4 linked regions of the Saccharomyces cerevisiae S288C genome follow. The protein of the gene in region 2 binds, or shares a complex with, the protein of the main gene of each other region. Each region holds a gene or a part of one and is shown on either strand. Other genes may lie near its edges. The genes, in order: RPC17, RPC37, RET1 and RPC53. A codon is read from its position in the direction of its gene.

The links.
Region 1: RPC37 (region 2) and RPC17 share a complex: the UniProt entries of both Saccharomyces cerevisiae proteins name them as parts of the RNA polymerase III (Pol III) complex.
Region 3: RPC37 (region 2) and RET1 share a complex: the UniProt entries of both Saccharomyces cerevisiae proteins name them as parts of the RNA polymerase III (Pol III) complex.
Region 4: the proteins of RPC37 (region 2) and RPC53 are in contact, whole or in part, in a cryo-EM structure (PDB 7Z0H), measured with the Saccharomyces cerevisiae proteins. Residues at the interface, in NP_012950.3 of Saccharomyces cerevisiae: Ile71 (codon at 2,091), Glu72 (codon at 2,094), Glu73 (codon at 2,097), Phe74 (codon at 2,100), Pro75 (codon at 2,103), Leu76 (codon at 2,106), Lys77 (codon at 2,109), Ile78 (codon at 2,112), Glu81 (codon at 2,121), Glu83 (codon at 2,127), Ser84 (codon at 2,130), Leu85 (codon at 2,133), His86 (codon at 2,136), Val87 (codon at 2,139), Phe88 (codon at 2,142), Gln89 (codon at 2,145), Tyr90 (codon at 2,148), Ala91 (codon at 2,151), Arg93 (codon at 2,157), Pro94 (codon at 2,160), Arg95 (codon at 2,163), Leu96 (codon at 2,166), Val97 (codon at 2,169), Arg99 (codon at 2,175), Ala102 (codon at 2,184), His104 (codon at 2,190), Tyr112 (codon at 2,214), Trp119 (codon at 2,235), Asp126 (codon at 2,256), Gln128 (codon at 2,262); in NP_010131.1 of Saccharomyces cerevisiae: Arg195 (codon at 1,285), Ile196 (codon at 1,282), Gln198 (codon at 1,276), Leu199 (codon at 1,273), Phe200 (codon at 1,270), Leu223 (codon at 1,201), Ser224 (codon at 1,198), Glu225 (codon at 1,195), Lys226 (codon at 1,192), Leu294 (codon at 988), Lys295 (codon at 985), Met297 (codon at 979), Asn298 (codon at 976), Asn299 (codon at 973), Lys300 (codon at 970), Pro301 (codon at 967), Glu302 (codon at 964), Arg303 (codon at 961), Phe304 (codon at 958), Met305 (codon at 955), Val306 (codon at 952), Phe307 (codon at 949), Gln308 (codon at 946), Leu309 (codon at 943), Pro310 (codon at 940), Thr311 (codon at 937), Arg312 (codon at 934), Leu313 (codon at 931), Pro314 (codon at 928), Ala315 (codon at 925).

What each region holds. Positions count from the first base shown.
Region 1 is NC_001142.9:413,701-416,336, forward strand, and holds RPC17 (DNA-directed RNA polymerase III subunit RPC17), read right to left. Parts: upstream 1,071-2,636; coding exon 585-1,070; downstream 1-584. UniProt on the Saccharomyces cerevisiae protein: DNA-dependent RNA polymerase catalyzes the transcription of DNA into RNA using the four ribonucleoside triphosphates as substrates. Specific peripheric component of RNA polymerase III which synthesizes small RNAs, such as 5S rRNA and tRNAs.
Region 2 is NC_001143.9:485,890-489,169, forward strand, and holds RPC37 (DNA-directed RNA polymerase III subunit C37), read left to right. Parts: upstream 1-1,880; coding exon 1,881-2,729; downstream 2,730-3,280. Other genes in the region: DBP7 (putative ATP-dependent RNA helicase), read right to left, coding at 1-1,483; GCN3 (translation initiation factor eIF2B subunit alpha), read right to left, coding at 2,849-3,280. UniProt on the Saccharomyces cerevisiae protein: DNA-dependent RNA polymerase catalyzes the transcription of DNA into RNA using the four ribonucleoside triphosphates as substrates. Specific peripheric component of RNA polymerase III which synthesizes small RNAs, such as 5S rRNA and tRNAs.
Region 3 is NC_001147.6:729,495-735,157, forward strand, and holds RET1 (DNA-directed RNA polymerase III core subunit RET1), read right to left. Parts: upstream 3,964-5,663; coding exon 514-3,963; downstream 1-513. Other genes in the region: mRNA-binding ribosome synthesis protein NOC2, read left to right, coding at 1-150; tyrosine protein phosphatase PTP2, read left to right, coding at 4,431-5,663. UniProt on the Saccharomyces cerevisiae protein: DNA-dependent RNA polymerase catalyzes the transcription of DNA into RNA using the four ribonucleoside triphosphates as substrates. Second largest core component of RNA polymerase III which synthesizes small RNAs, such as 5S rRNA and tRNAs.
Region 4 is NC_001136.10:181,821-185,209, reverse strand, and holds RPC53 (DNA-directed RNA polymerase III subunit C53), read right to left. Parts: upstream 1,868-3,389; coding exon 599-1,867; downstream 1-598. Other genes in the region: autophagy protein ATG9, read right to left, coding at 1-285; rRNA-processing protein SAS10, read left to right, coding at 2,192-3,389. UniProt on the Saccharomyces cerevisiae protein: DNA-dependent RNA polymerase catalyzes the transcription of DNA into RNA using the four ribonucleoside triphosphates as substrates. Specific peripheric component of RNA polymerase III which synthesizes small RNAs, such as 5S rRNA and tRNAs.

The sequences.
Region 1 (2,636 bases), on a different chromosome or scaffold from region 2:
CAGAGAGGCAATTGCGTGATTAATTCGGAATATTAGCAACGCTTCTCTTAGTATGAAAAAGCTCTTCGAAAGACTATATTTTTGAAAGCTTTAATATGTTTATAAGTTAAATATTGTCGAACTTGTTTGCGACAGCTCTTGAAGTCACGGTGCGTCTTTTTTTACTCGTCAACTGGTATAACAATGCGTATGACAATTATTATATAACTATTACTTTATTCTTGCCATGAAGGGATTACTGTAACGCCCTCAACTAGTATACCCTTTTAAGCCTCGACAAAAATACAGAATAAACAAAAGTTAAATCTCACCGAAGTTGCTTGTGGTACTGGCTTTACAGACGTTTATAACGCAGCACTAAATTTCCAAATAATAACCTTCCTCCAATGGAAATAAAAAAAATCGAGACTAACCCAAAGTGTGCGCAATAAACTCTAAAAAATAAAGTATATTCTTGTAAATATTTCTATATGCTTAAGTTCAATAATACATGCATACTCATTGAACATGTTATATTGTTACACAACAAAGTAATTTCTGTTTTTCGGAAGTGCCAGTCCAAATCAATTCAAAGCACTGTACACTCATGCGTAGCCAGAGATGATCTCTAGCATTTCCTCAATTGTTTTTTCGTCAAATCTTGCATCACACTCCTCCACTATGGAGTAAAGGTGGACCATATTGGCAGGAAGTTGATTGACAATCTGCAGTTTTTCAGCCTTGAATAATTTAAAAGAATTCAGTTTAGTCATCAACTCAGCAAAGCTTTCATCGCTCATTTTGCTTATACCCGATTTTTCAGCATCTTTTGCACCACTGCTTTCTCGTTCCTCGCCTTCATCTTCCTGGTTGATAAAGTTTTTGTTTATACTGAGATAGTTAACCACATTGCGAGTAATACCTTGCAATTCAGGATGATTGTAGGGCCTATTCTGCTTACCTTTCGAGCGACTTTTCTTCAGCGCAGCCAAACTTTTTTGGTCCCAAAGATGTTTTTTTTCTAGATCTGTTAGGAACTTCAAGACTTCATAGTCACTTAAAAATGCATTCCTTTCCTCAAGAACTTTCATAACGTTTAAAGTTTTTTGTTTAAGTGTCGATTTTTTCAGTGGTGGGTGTTGGATTCACTCAACTTCTCTTCTACTGTGGCTGTTATTTGCTTAACTTTCATAGATCGATGGCATTGAAAAAAATAATTTTTCAGGCAATTTTCCTTTTTTTACTTGGTATAATTTTCAGGAATTGAAGGATTTTTCAACGAATTAGCCTTGTTGGCGCAATCGGTAGCGCGTATGACTCTTAATCATAAGGTTAGGGGTTCGAGCCCCCTACAGGGCTAATATTTTTTTCTTGCCCACTTATTCAAGGAATAAGTGCTAATTATCTTTCAACCTTGCAGCGAAGCTTTCTTTTGTATTTCATCTCATAGAAGGTGAAATATCACACTATTTTGTAAATAGAAATAGTATATGTAGTTCGTGGAGAACCAGACTGCAGACTATCAATAAAAGGTTACATTCTGTTCAACTCATGTGACCAGAAGTTTGATTAAGCAAAATTGTTCTTCTCCTTAACATATGATATTATCTGAAGGAATCTAGAAAAGCTTGATCATTCCGCAGAATAACCTATCAAAATGATTGGGAGGACCATTTTATAATTCATGCTACATATATAACATTATACAGTAAACCCTTTTAATGTAATGGATTGCTCATAGTTGTGTACACGAACTGTTTGCTAATAAGCTTGTTTTAGCTTCTATTGCTAAAGAAATTACTGACGAAGAGTTTATGACAAGGAAAGATGAACGAAAGTACAATTTACCGGTTAGTGTCAGCGCCAAAGGATCCACGCACTAGCAAAATAATGAAAATTGTGCCGGATATTCAAGACTAAGAGATGTACAAGTTGAAATATAAGTAACCCTCGGCATAAACTACTCTGTCGTAAGATCATTAACATGTCGATTTGCCTGTGACATTTAACGATTCACAAATAGCGGAATTAAATGATACTTTATCTATCCTAAAACGCACGAAGCATACTTTAGAATGCATGCTCTTAGTAAGTATGCATTGCCGACTTCTCTGTAAGACTTTTATCTCGTTTCAGACCTAATCTGCAACAAGAGAAAGGGAAGAGGACGGTATTGTTACGACGTTATTGGCGGCTAGGAAAGAGAGAATCACCATGAACGATATGGTGCAAAAAAAATAAAAAAATAAATTGAAACGGACAGGAATTGAACCTGCAACCCTTCGATTGCAATCTTATTCCGTGGAATTTCCAAGATTTAATTGGAGTCGAAAGCTCTACCATTGAGCCACCGCTTCAACTTTTGTTGAAAATTTAGGCTAACATTTTCTAATAGGTGACATTACAAAATCCAGTCTTACAGTTATGCTTAATATTGACCAGTAGTCATATTACTGGCATATTATCTGTTAGAATAGTGACATACTATTCTTTATTACTGATGAATTTGTAATTGTGAAGCAATTAGACGCAAACGTCATTGATGTGTCAGGATGGAGAACGATATAGACTATGTGATAATGTAAAGTTAAATATCTGTTACTTGAACAATTAACTTGACGTTTGTATATGTAAGGATATGGGTCATTACATAGAAA
Region 2 (3,280 bases):
TTTGTTGGGATAAAGAACCGTGCAATTTATAAATCACTACATCTGGGTCCCTAGAATCTGAAAAACAAGGAAACATAGTGTTTCCTTTTGTCAATAGTCTTACAGAATCACCCGTTAGATTTTTATGGTGCCCGTCACTTCCTGAAAATGCGTCATAATGAAACTCCACGCTGTCTGAACATGATACGAATACGATTGTACGCAGCGTTTTGGACTGTTGACCGGAAGCGATGAAATCTTTGGTAATGTTGTTCAAAGTAGCAGCTAATGTTACAAGACGCAACTTTGGTGGGACAATAGTAATCCTCTGCAATAGTTGATCGGGCGCAACCGTTACTATATCAGAATCTTTCTTGGTACCGTTGCTAATCAATTTGTAATCTTTCAACGCCACGTTTCTTAACCTATTAACACCATCAGTAAGTGTAGCACTACATAACATGTGCACTAACTTATGCGGTAGCTTGGGAAATTTTTCGGAGTTGATGGGAATATCGTGAACAATTTTAATAATTTCACTGATCGTCTCATCAAAACCCAATTCCATTAACTTATCTCCTTCATCCAATACGATATACCTTAGAGATTGACTCAATTGCTCCTTGATAACTTTTGTATTTTGTAAATGATCCAAAACACGACCTGGTGTACCGATTATGAAATTGCAACCCTTACGCAATCTAGCTTTTTCTGATTTCTTACGTTCTCCACCAATCAATAAACATGGGACCAAGTAGTGACAACATGACACAAGCGTGGAACAAACATGATATATTTGTGATGCTAGTTCTCGTGTAGGAGCAATAACCAATGCAAATGCACCAGAAGTACGATCAACATGAGTATCCATGTTCAAAATAGTAGATATTATAGGTAAAAGATACGATAAAGTCTTACCTGAGCCTGTTTGGGCGTGAATGAAAAAATCGTTCTTCCCCGCGTTACCTATTATTTGAGGTATGGCCTGCTTCTGGATGCTCGTAGGCTTTTTAATACGCATTTTTTGCTCCAGATGAGAAACAAGAAGACTAGAGACACCTAAAGACGCAAACTGATCACCTTTCAAGGGCGCGTTAGACGGATTGATGGCAACGTTTTCATCATGAATATTAGTGTTTACCGCAGTTGTAATCTCTCTGTTAGATGTAAACAGGGATGAAACAAACTGAGAATCGGCTGGTAGAGTTCTCCCTTGAGTGTTATGAGCATTTCTACCCTTATATTTTTCCTGCTCTTCAGAACTATAGGAACTCTCCTTATGCAATTTTTTAATAGAATTCTCGCCTCTACCCGGAATTATCCCTTCGTCCCCTGTAGTGTTCGCCTTTCTTTTCCTCGAGACTGTCTTGCCCTCAAGCTTCATTTTCATTCTTCTTCTATCCTTCCATCTACCGCCTGTCACCTTGGCAGCTTGCTTATAGGAACTTCCTGCAGTGTCCTCATTGGTAGTGAAGTTTAACAGCATAGAATCTTCATCGCTCATCTTGGTGTTAAATTGCTGAATAAGTATGCTTATTTGGAATATGAATAATCCCAAAGGAAAAAGAATATAAACAATCGTACTTTCTTAAATTAGAAATATCACATACAAGTACTCAATCTTTTATTTTCCTAAGCTCATCGCAAATTTTTCAAGTAAAATGGAAACCTAATATGTCAGGGTTTTTAATCCATATTGTTAGGGCAACATTCAATTTTAAACTGAAATTTTATAAAAACTCTGTTCATTTTTCAGGCCTTAGGGTTAGTATTCTGACAAAATTATTCAAGAAAAAAAGAAATGTTACAATGAATGCAAAAGATGGATAAAAGCGAGAGATGAGCTTAAATGATCTGGCTCAAGCAGTGCAAGGTGAAAGTGGAATAGGCTAGTGTTATAGATGAGTATTGACAACAAGTTGTTTGTTACTGAAGAGGATGAGGAAGACAGGACGCAGGACCGTGCTGATGTTGAGGATGAATCTAACGACATTGATATGATAGCGGATGAGAACGGAACAAACAGCGCTATAGCTAATGAGCAAGAGGAAAAATCCGAAGAAGTAAAAGCTGAAGATGATACTGGTGAAGAAGAAGAGGATGACCCAGTGATCGAAGAGTTTCCATTGAAGATCTCCGGAGAAGAGGAGTCACTGCACGTGTTTCAGTATGCTAATAGACCAAGGCTAGTAGGACGCAAACCTGCTGAGCATCCGTTTATCTCTGCAGCAAGATATAAACCCAAGTCGCACCTATGGGAAATAGATATTCCTTTGGATGAGCAGGCCTTCTATAACAAGGATAAGGCTGAGAGCGAATGGAATGGGGTTAATGTCCAAACATTAAAAGGCGTGGGTGTGGAAAACAATGGCCAATATGCAGCATTTGTCAAAGATATGCAGGTTTATTTGGTACCTATTGAGAGGGTAGCACAATTGAAGCCATTTTTCAAATATATCGACGACGCAAATGTAACAAGAAAGCAAGAGGACGCCAGAAGGAACCCTAATCCTTCATCACAACGCGCTCAAGTGGTTACCATGTCTGTAAAGAGCGTCAACGACCCTTCGCAAAACAGACTCACTGGCTCCCTGCTGGCACATAAAGTCGCCGATGAAGAGGCTAATATTGAATTGACCTGGGCAGAAGGCACGTTTGAACAGTTCAAAGATACTATCGTGAAAGAAGCTGAAGATAAAACTTTAGTAGCCTTAGAGAAACAAGAAGACTATATAGATAATCTAGTTTGAAGTACATAATGCATCATGAAGAAAGAACAGCATCAGACATCAGTTTCACATAAAGGATGCTCTTGCGCTTTTTCTCCTTTTCTATTAAGTCATTGCGTGCATATATTATGTGATTTTTTTTAATCATACCACATCTTGATTAACTCTTCTGAAACGGCACTTGGAGTGAGGACCCCTAAATCTGTAATCAATGCAGTAATGTATTCTTGGGCGGTATAGTCGATCGTGGGCCCACGCAATGCATCTTCTAGATCGTCCGTACGACGTGTGAAATCCAAAGGAGGGCCGGCCATAGGTAGATCATCTGAAGACAATGGAAACATACGAACAAATTTGTGACTTTCAGTGACCACATAGAATGGTTTTCTTGCATTATGTGCTAAAACACCCACTGAATAGGTACCCACGAGATTTATAATACCACCTGATTCAGCAACACCCTCAGCACCAACGAACACTTTGTCAACCTTATCGATTACCGCTCCAACCGCGCTATCGACAATAAGAGTCACGGGTATGCCCTTTTGTTCAAGTAAAGTATATAGCTGGTT
Region 3 (5,663 bases), on a different chromosome or scaffold from region 2:
GTACAACGTGAAGTTAAGGAAGAAAAGGCCAGATTAATGAGAGAAAGTATGGAAGAACAAGACAAAGAAAGAGAAACAGAAGAAGCAAAATTATTAAACAGTCTGGAAAGTGATGATGACAACGAAGATGTTGAAATGTCAGACGCTTAACAACTCAGCAAGATTTGATTTTTTGTCTTGAATTCAATAGTTAAGTCTATAAATGTGTAAAATAAAGAAAAGTCTTTTTTAAAGCGTATATATCATTGTGCTCACATGTGCTAACATGTGAGCACTCCAAGCTTTCTCTTGTCAGCTGGATATTTTTATATTTTGGCCGGTTTATGGATAGAAAACACGTCAAACGTTCGATGGATCTTATAAAAAGTAATGATGTAAAGCAAGGTACAAAAATGAAAGAAGTACGGTTTACTGTTATATAATTTTCGAAATCGTTCAACTCTCTTAAAGTTCCTCACGAAATAGATATGATTGCTAACATAACGCAAAATTTAGTACAAGATATATGATTTCTTACTGCTGGAAGATATCTTCCAATCTTAATCTTGGGGCTATGTTCATGGATAATAATTCCTGGAATAACAGTTTTGCTGCATATGGAATAGTCATCTTAATAATATTCTCAGCACTTTTGCAGGTAGTACACCAACCACTATAGCCCATTAATCCACATTTATCGCAGACATCAACTTCAAAAGCATCTGAACTAATCATCAACCTTTCTAACAGCAATTGTGAAGCACCATACGCGATTACACAATCCCTCTCCATCTCACCCAACCTCAGACCACCATCTCTAGATCTACCCTCAGTTGGTTGACGTGTCAAAACAGCCCTTGGACCACGAGCTCTTGCATGCATCTTATCTAAGACCATATGCTTTAACTTTTGATAGTAAATGGGGCCAAAAAAGATGTAAGCCTGTAAACACTCACCTGTTATACCTGAATATAACATATCCTTACCGGAATAGTTGAAACCTTGGTCTACCAAAATCTTAGACATATCTTCAAGTTTAGAACCACCAAAACAAGTACCATATTCCAATGTACCATTCAATACACCAGCTTTACCCGATATCAGTTCGATCATTTTACCCACAGTCATACGAGATGGAAAACCGTGAGGGTTCATGATAATGTCTGGAACTATACCTTGATCGTTGAAGGGCATGTCTTCTTGCTTTACAATAATACCACAAACACCTTTTTGACCATGTCTAGAAGAAAATTTGTCACCTAATTCTGGCCTTCTGTTTTGTCTTAGCAAAACTTTGATTAAAGCTTGATCGTTATCCGAAACAGACATCATAACTTGGTCAATGTGAGAAGGTTCTGGACCTCTATATATTACCGGAGCTTCCCTATATTGAGTTTGGACGTTTACGTTGTTTGGGTTTGGGGCGTCTGCTGAGTTAGTTGGAACTGACTTATTTATATAAATTTGTCCACTTTGGACCTTCATACCCACCTCACCTAGACCATCAGGACCAAGAGATTGATGTTGCCAGATAGGATCTCCATTTTCATCAACTCTCATACCACCGATGATATCTTGGGTATGGTTCGCATATCTTTTCAAAACAGTGGTTGTCTTTCTACGTGTTTCGCAACGGCCGAAACCTCTATCGATGGATGACTTATTCAAAACCAAAGCATCTTCAATATCATAACCAGAATAGGACATGACAGCAACCGTAGCATTTTGACCAGCAGGTAATTTATCATAATCGATCAATTCAATTGTTTTGGTTTTCACCATTGGCTGTTGTGGATAAGTCATCAAGTATAATAATGTATCTATTCTCTTGAATTGATTGTAGGCGATTGCACCAATCGCTTGCTTACCCATCGCACATTGATATGTGTTACGAGGGGATTGGTTATGATGTGGATATGGAATTAAACCAGCAACAGCACCTAAAATTGTGAATGGCTCGATTTCTAAATGTGTCATCGAGGGAACTATATCTTTTTCATACAATGCAATGTAAGAATCGTTTTCTTCATTGACATCTAAATATTCCACCAATCCGAGTTTCAAAAAATCATCGAAATCTAACTCACCATCTAATAATTTGCGTAAATGAATATCTTTCACGCGAGATTGACCATCAGAAACAATGATTAATGGCCTACAAATTCTACCACCATCTGTTGCAATATGAACTGCCATTTGGTGAGAATTTGAATAAATTGAGATAAACTCCGACACTTTACCTGTTCTTCTCAGATGTCTGAACTGAGTAACGAATTTTGTTGGGAATCTGATTGAACCAATTAAAGTACCATTCAAATAAACACCATAGTTTAAATGCAAGGATGCACTGTCAATCAATGTTATGTCTTCTACACCAAGAACATAACATAATTTCTTTATAGGTTCCTCTTCGTCATCTGTAGTAATATGAGTCATTAATGCTAAATTTTTCACTAGACCACACGCCTCACCTTCTGGAGTATCTGCAGTACAAAGCATACCAAATTGAGAAGGTTGTAATGCTCTTGGACCGGAAACTTTTCTTGATTTTTCAAACTGAGAAGAAATTCTTGTCATCATACCCAATGCGGAAATATAAGATAGTCTGGAAAGAACATGTGTAACACCCGCTCTTTCCATCTTAAATCTTTTAAGAGACCAATTACCGGTTGAGATAGCTCTGTTCAGTCCGCTGGTGATGTTATTTGAATGGACGTTAATTGACAATAATGCATCGTATTCCATAGCCCTATTTGGTTTTTTCAAGACCTTATCAATGCTTAGTTTAAAATCATTATTAAACTTTTTGAACAAATCTTCGAACAATAAAGAAATCAATTGGCCTGCTAATTCAAGACGTTTATTACCAACATAATCTCTATCATCAATCATCTTAGGGTTATACATTGCCATCACCACCCTGCGCGTCATCATGGCAATATATAAAGCCTTTTCTCTAAAGTCAAGGGCTTCCACAGTCAAATGTGCAATAACCGTGGTAGCAATGGCCTCTATACCCTCTTGCAGGATAGTCAGTTTTTGCCTTCTCATTGTCTTTACTTTTGCACCAATATACTCTAAAGCTTGCTGTTGTGTGTAAATATCTAATTTCGAAGATTCTTCCAAATTGACTGCAAAAATATCTTGGTAGCTACTATCATTACCGCAAACCAATTGCATAATTTCTAAATCTGATAAAATACCACAGGCTTTGAGAACAATAGCAATAGGAATTTCTTCAGCGATGGAATTGTGCTTCAAATAGATCTTGCCATTTTTGGTAATGACATAAGTCTTAGATTTTCTTTCATGGGTAGATGAAGTAACGGAGGCCTGAACAATGCCTTTCTTCTCATCTGCCTCCACAATAATACGATTCTTGGATAATTGTTCTTGAACAAGAATTACTTTTTCGGTACCGTTAACAATAAAGTAACCACCAGGATCCAACGGACACTCGTTTAATTTAGCCATTTTCGATTCATCAGCATCATATAGGATACATTTATTAGATCTCAGCATGATCGGCATCCTACCAATTTCCACGTCTTTATGCATAATAATGTTTCTACCTCTAGTGTATTCTATATCCACGTAGATTGGTGCAGAGTATGTCATATCTCTAAGCCTACACTCATGAGGCGGAGTCAAATAATCTTTTGTCGAAGAAGAGGACTTCTTACCCACTCTAATATCGACGTACTTCAGGTAGAATTCTGGATCAACATCACTCAAAATTAATTGATTTGCCTTTATAATTTTTTTTAAATCTGTATCAACGAAGTAGTTAAATGAGTCAAGATGTTGCTTCACCAAACCTTTAACCTTCAAGAATGCTGGTAAAAGGTGCCACTTATCCTGAGCAGTATTGATTTCATCAGTTAGTTTCTTACCTTTATATACTGGTTTCAATAAATCATCAAAAGCCTCGTCTTTCACATGCTTATGTATATGAGTTTTCCGTCTTTTTGTCGCAGCAACCATTTTTCAACAAGCACTAAGTCCCTAGCGATTAAAACGCTCAATTATCAACACTTTAAACTCCCTTTAATTCTTTCCTAACTTGTCCATATATCATCACTTAAGCATAGATCGAAAAATTTTCAGCTCATCTCACAATTACAATTTCGTCCGACGTGATCTGGAAAATACGCGCCTGCTTTATGGAACTATTTATATCTTTATGTGTAGTACACCTAACAATAAGGAATATATAAAAATAATGCACCTATTAAAACCTTTGGGAAGTGCCAACTTTGAATCATCATCTTTCTTTGAACACCGCGCTGCGACCTTTGACAAGAAAGACGAGATCACTCAACCTGACAGACCCGATTCCCCTGGTTCCCCTCTTCCGCTTTGCACAGCCCTTTTCGCTTAGTTTGGAAGCCTAGGTCCGATCCCCAGTGCTATTAATAGTTTACAATAAAATAGGATCGACGTTGCTATTGATGGATCGCATAGCACAGCAATATCGTAATGGCAAAAGAGACAATAACGGCAATAGAATGGCTTCTTCCGCTATATCGGAAAAGGGCCACATACAAGTCAATCAAACTAGAACACCTGGTCAAATGCCCGTCTATAGAGGTGAAACTATAAATCTGTCTAACCTTCCCCAAAATCAAATTAAACCGTGCAAAGATTTGGACGACGTTAACATACGGCGGAACAACTCTAATAGGCATTCTAAAATACTTTTACTAGATCTGTGCGCTGGCCCCAATACCAACTCATTTTTAGGCAATACCAATGCTAAGGATATCACAGTTTTATCGTTGCCGCTACCCAGCACTTTGGTGAAAAGGTCGAACTACCCGTTCGAGAACTTACTAAAGAATTACCTTGGATCTGATGAAAAGTATATTGAGTTCACAAAGATCATCAAAGATTATGATATTTTCATTTTCAGTGATTCGTTTAGCAGAATTTCGAGTTGTTTAAAGACAACTTTTTGCCTCATTGAGAAGTTTAAAAAGTTCATCTGCCATTTTTTTCCATCTCCTTATTTGAAATTCTTTCTTCTCGAAGGCTCTCTGAATGATAGCAAGGCCCCCTCATTAGGAAAAAATAAGAAAAATTGCATCTTGCCCAAATTGGATTTGAACTTGAATGTAAACTTAACTTCAAGGTCAACTTTAAATTTAAGAATAAACATACCTCCACCCAATGATTCAAATAAAATATTTTTACAGTCTCTGAAAAAGGATCTAATTCATTATTCTCCTAATTCTTTGCAAAAGTTTTTCCAATTCAATATGCCTGCTGACTTAGCACCTAACGACACGATTTTACCGAATTGGCTAAAATTCTGCTCCGTAAAAGAAAATGAAAAGGTAATATTAAAGAAACTCTTTAACAATTTTGAAACTTTAGAAAATTTTGAAATGCAAAGATTAGAGAAATGCCTGAAATTCAAGAAAAAGCCTTTACATCAAAAGCAGCTATCACAAAAGCAGAGGGGTCCGCAATCCACGGATGATTCAAAATTATATTCTTTAACTAGTTTGCAACGACAGTATAAAAGTTCTTTGAAAAGCAACATACAGAAAAATCAAAAGCTAAAATTAATTATACCAAAAAACAACACATCTTCTTCGCCATCACCATTATCTTCCGATGATACTATAATGTCACCAATAAATGATTACGAACTTACTGAAGGAATTCAGTCTTTTACTAAG
Region 4 (3,389 bases), on a different chromosome or scaffold from region 2:
TGGAGCATACGCCTGGACTTGCTCTTCATCTACTTCATCCTCTTCTTCTGTACTAGTGCCTTGGTCAGACTCAGGAACACGTAAGTCATTCTCATCTACATCTTCGCGGCTGTCGTTAGTAGAATGCAATAAAGATGAGCCTCTCTCTATGTCTGGTAAAGGGAAGTTGCTCATCTCCTGGCTATTAAGAGAAGGATTAACTTCATCCGATTGTAAACCAAATATTCGCGATAAGAAAGTATTCTTCCCATGAGAGTTGGGTAACTGGTATTCATCTCTCTCCATAACCTAATAATTCCGTGATTTTGATATTTCAGGCTGTTCTTAAATGTCTTCTTATCAAAGTGAGATACTCATTACTTCACGGTGGTTATGGCGCTTCTTTTTGTTTAAAGTGTGGCTCCCCTAAAGTTCCGAAACTGGGTAACAATAACTAGAATAACATTACCAATGTTCAAAGAGGATGAGAAATTGTAGAAGACAAGACGTCAATAGTACCTTTTGAATGGGAATCTAAGCATCTTAATTAGTGTAATTTGTTCTAGAAGTATTTATGACTGTGTATATTCATTTATATACTCGACAGATGCGAGTGCGATTAGATTTGAGGTGTGACTACTATTTTACCGTCCACACGGCCTAGAAGTTCCGCTGAGGATGCATCATCAGCGATACTTAATGCTATAACATCTTGTAAAAATGTGGTTTCGGCACCTTTGCCAATATCCATCACCACATTTCCAATTTTCACGGAAAGTTTTCCAGATTTGTGAACCCGTATAGACCCAACCTTGCCGGCAAGTTCTCTAGTAGACAAAGCATCCTTCGTGTCCTTCTTTTTAATATTCTTCTTCTTCTTTGAAGGGTCGCTAGCCTGGGTTTCCATGTCTTCTTTTTCTTCTTTCACAGCGGGTCTTTCAAAAGCTGGTAACCTAGTAGGTAACTGGAATACCATGAATCTTTCTGGTTTATTATTCATTTTCTTTAGTTTTCGTAATATATGCTGATGATCTGCATTTAATAATTCCAACTCAGCGGCCGCTTCTTTCCCATCAACCGATTGAAACTCCTTTTCAAGTCCAAGATCTGCCAGTTTCTCATTGACTTGCCTTTCTCTTTCTTCCAAATAAGATTGTAATCCGGTTCCGACAGGCTCTGTCTTCACACTGGGGGTTGGTTCACGAGTTGGCTTTTCTGAAAGAGCTTCTTGTATTTCTCTTTTGACAGTTTCAACGTCTTCGTGTCTTACGCGGACAGGTCTCACAGGGAATAACTGTTCAATCCGTTTAGATCTCCATTCTTCGTCATCCATGTCGACGTCACTGCTCTTTTCACTTTCGCCGTCATCTTCGTCCTCTATGAGATTGCGTGCCTCGAATTCTTTTCCCATATTGAACTTCTTCTTAGATTTGGACGCTACACCTTCATTATCATCGTCTTCTGCCTCATTCTCAGAGCTCTCAGCACCATTGTCAATAGTTTCCAGGCCCTTTTGCACAAGAGATGACCCGCTTCCTTCTGATTTGATGAATCCTCTTCTCAAATCACCCTTCTCACTTACAAAGTTCCCAGCCGCCAATGGACCGCTAGAGATAACGTGTGTGTTATTTAAGTATTTGGCCATTCGCCTTTGCTGGCCGCCAGCGCCGGTTACTCTTTTATTCTTGTTATTGAAATGTTTCTTGTCATTACCTCTCTTAGATTCCTCCTCTAGCTTTACTTTGGACGCAGCTGCTTCTCTTTCTTCCTTGGACTTTCTTGCAACTGCTTTTGGTTTAAACTTTAATGAGGGCTTGGCAGATCCTCCTCCATTGGAGGAGGAATCTTTTAATGATGGCAAGCGCCCATTTCCTTTATTACTGCTCATACTTAATGAATGCTATCCCGCTTAATAAAAAACAAGATTACGCTTCGACTTTCGGTTAGTCTAGCAAATTATAAATACCTCAATATCTTTCTAGCTGTCCTCTTTTGAATTGTTCTCTTGAATACCATAATTCTCTGGTCATTATCTTCTGCTGATCAAAAAATTGGACTTTGCAGGGCGGATGAAAAATTTTCAAACTGCGCTTCTGCAATGAAAAAAAATTCAATAATGAAGCTCATCTCATCATAGCTCATCTCACTGATGCTTTTATACAAAAAGTTTTGGAGGAAGAGAAAACATATTAGAGTGGGTGTATAGAATAATATGGTACGCAAAGGCTCAAACAGAACTAAGACCTCTGAAGTTGGGGATGAGATTAATCCGTATGGTTTAAACGAAGTTGATGATTTTGCTTCTAAAAGGGAAAAGGTTTTACTTGGACAATCCACCTTTGGCGACAGTAATAAAGATGATGACCATTCTCTGTTAGAAGACGAAGATGAGGAAGAAGTCTTAGCCATGGATGAAGATGATGAGTCAATAGATGAAAGAGAAGATGAGGAAGAAGAAGAGGAAGAGGAACTAGATGGTGCTGCAGCCTATAAGAAAATATTTGGTAGAAACTTAGAAACTGACCAGCTTCCTGAGGAAGATGAAGAGAATGGTATGTTAGACAACGAGAATGCCTGGGGGTCCACAAAAGGAGAATATTATGGGGCTGATGATTTAGATGATGACGAAGCTGCTAAGGAAATAGAAAAGGAAGCTTTACGACAACAAAAGAAGCATCTGGAAGAACTTAATATGAACGATTACTTAGATGAAGAAGAAGAAGAAGAGTGGGTCAAAAGTGCCAAAGAATTTGACATGGGTGAATTTAAGAACTCGACCAAGCAGGCTGATACTAAAACTTCCATAACGGATATTCTAAATATGGATGACGAAGCAAGGGATAACTATTTAAGGACAATGTTTCCTGAATTTGCTCCACTTTCAAAAGAATTCACAGAATTAGCTCCAAAGTTTGACGAATTAAAGAAATCTGAGGAAAATGAGTTCAATAAATTAAAGCTAATTGCACTTGGAAGTTACCTAGGCACAATATCATGTTACTATAGTATCTTGTTGCACGAACTCCATAATAATGAAGATTTCACATCTATGAAGGGACATCCGGTCATGGAAAAGATTTTAACGACAAAAGAGATTTGGAGGCAAGCCAGCGAATTGCCATCTAGTTTTGATGTGAATGAAGGAGATGGTTCTGAAAGTGAAGAAACCGCAAACATTGAGGCCTTTAACGAAAAGAAGCTGAATGAGTTGCAAAACAGTGAAGATTCTGATGCAGAGGATGGAGGAAAACAAAAGCAAGAAATTGATGAAGAAGAAAGAGAAAGCGATGAAGAAGAAGAAGAAGAAGATGTTGATATTGACGATTTTGAAGAGTACGTAGCACAATCACGTCTGCATTCTAAACCGAAAACATCATCAATGCCTGAAGCTGATGATTTCATTGAATCTG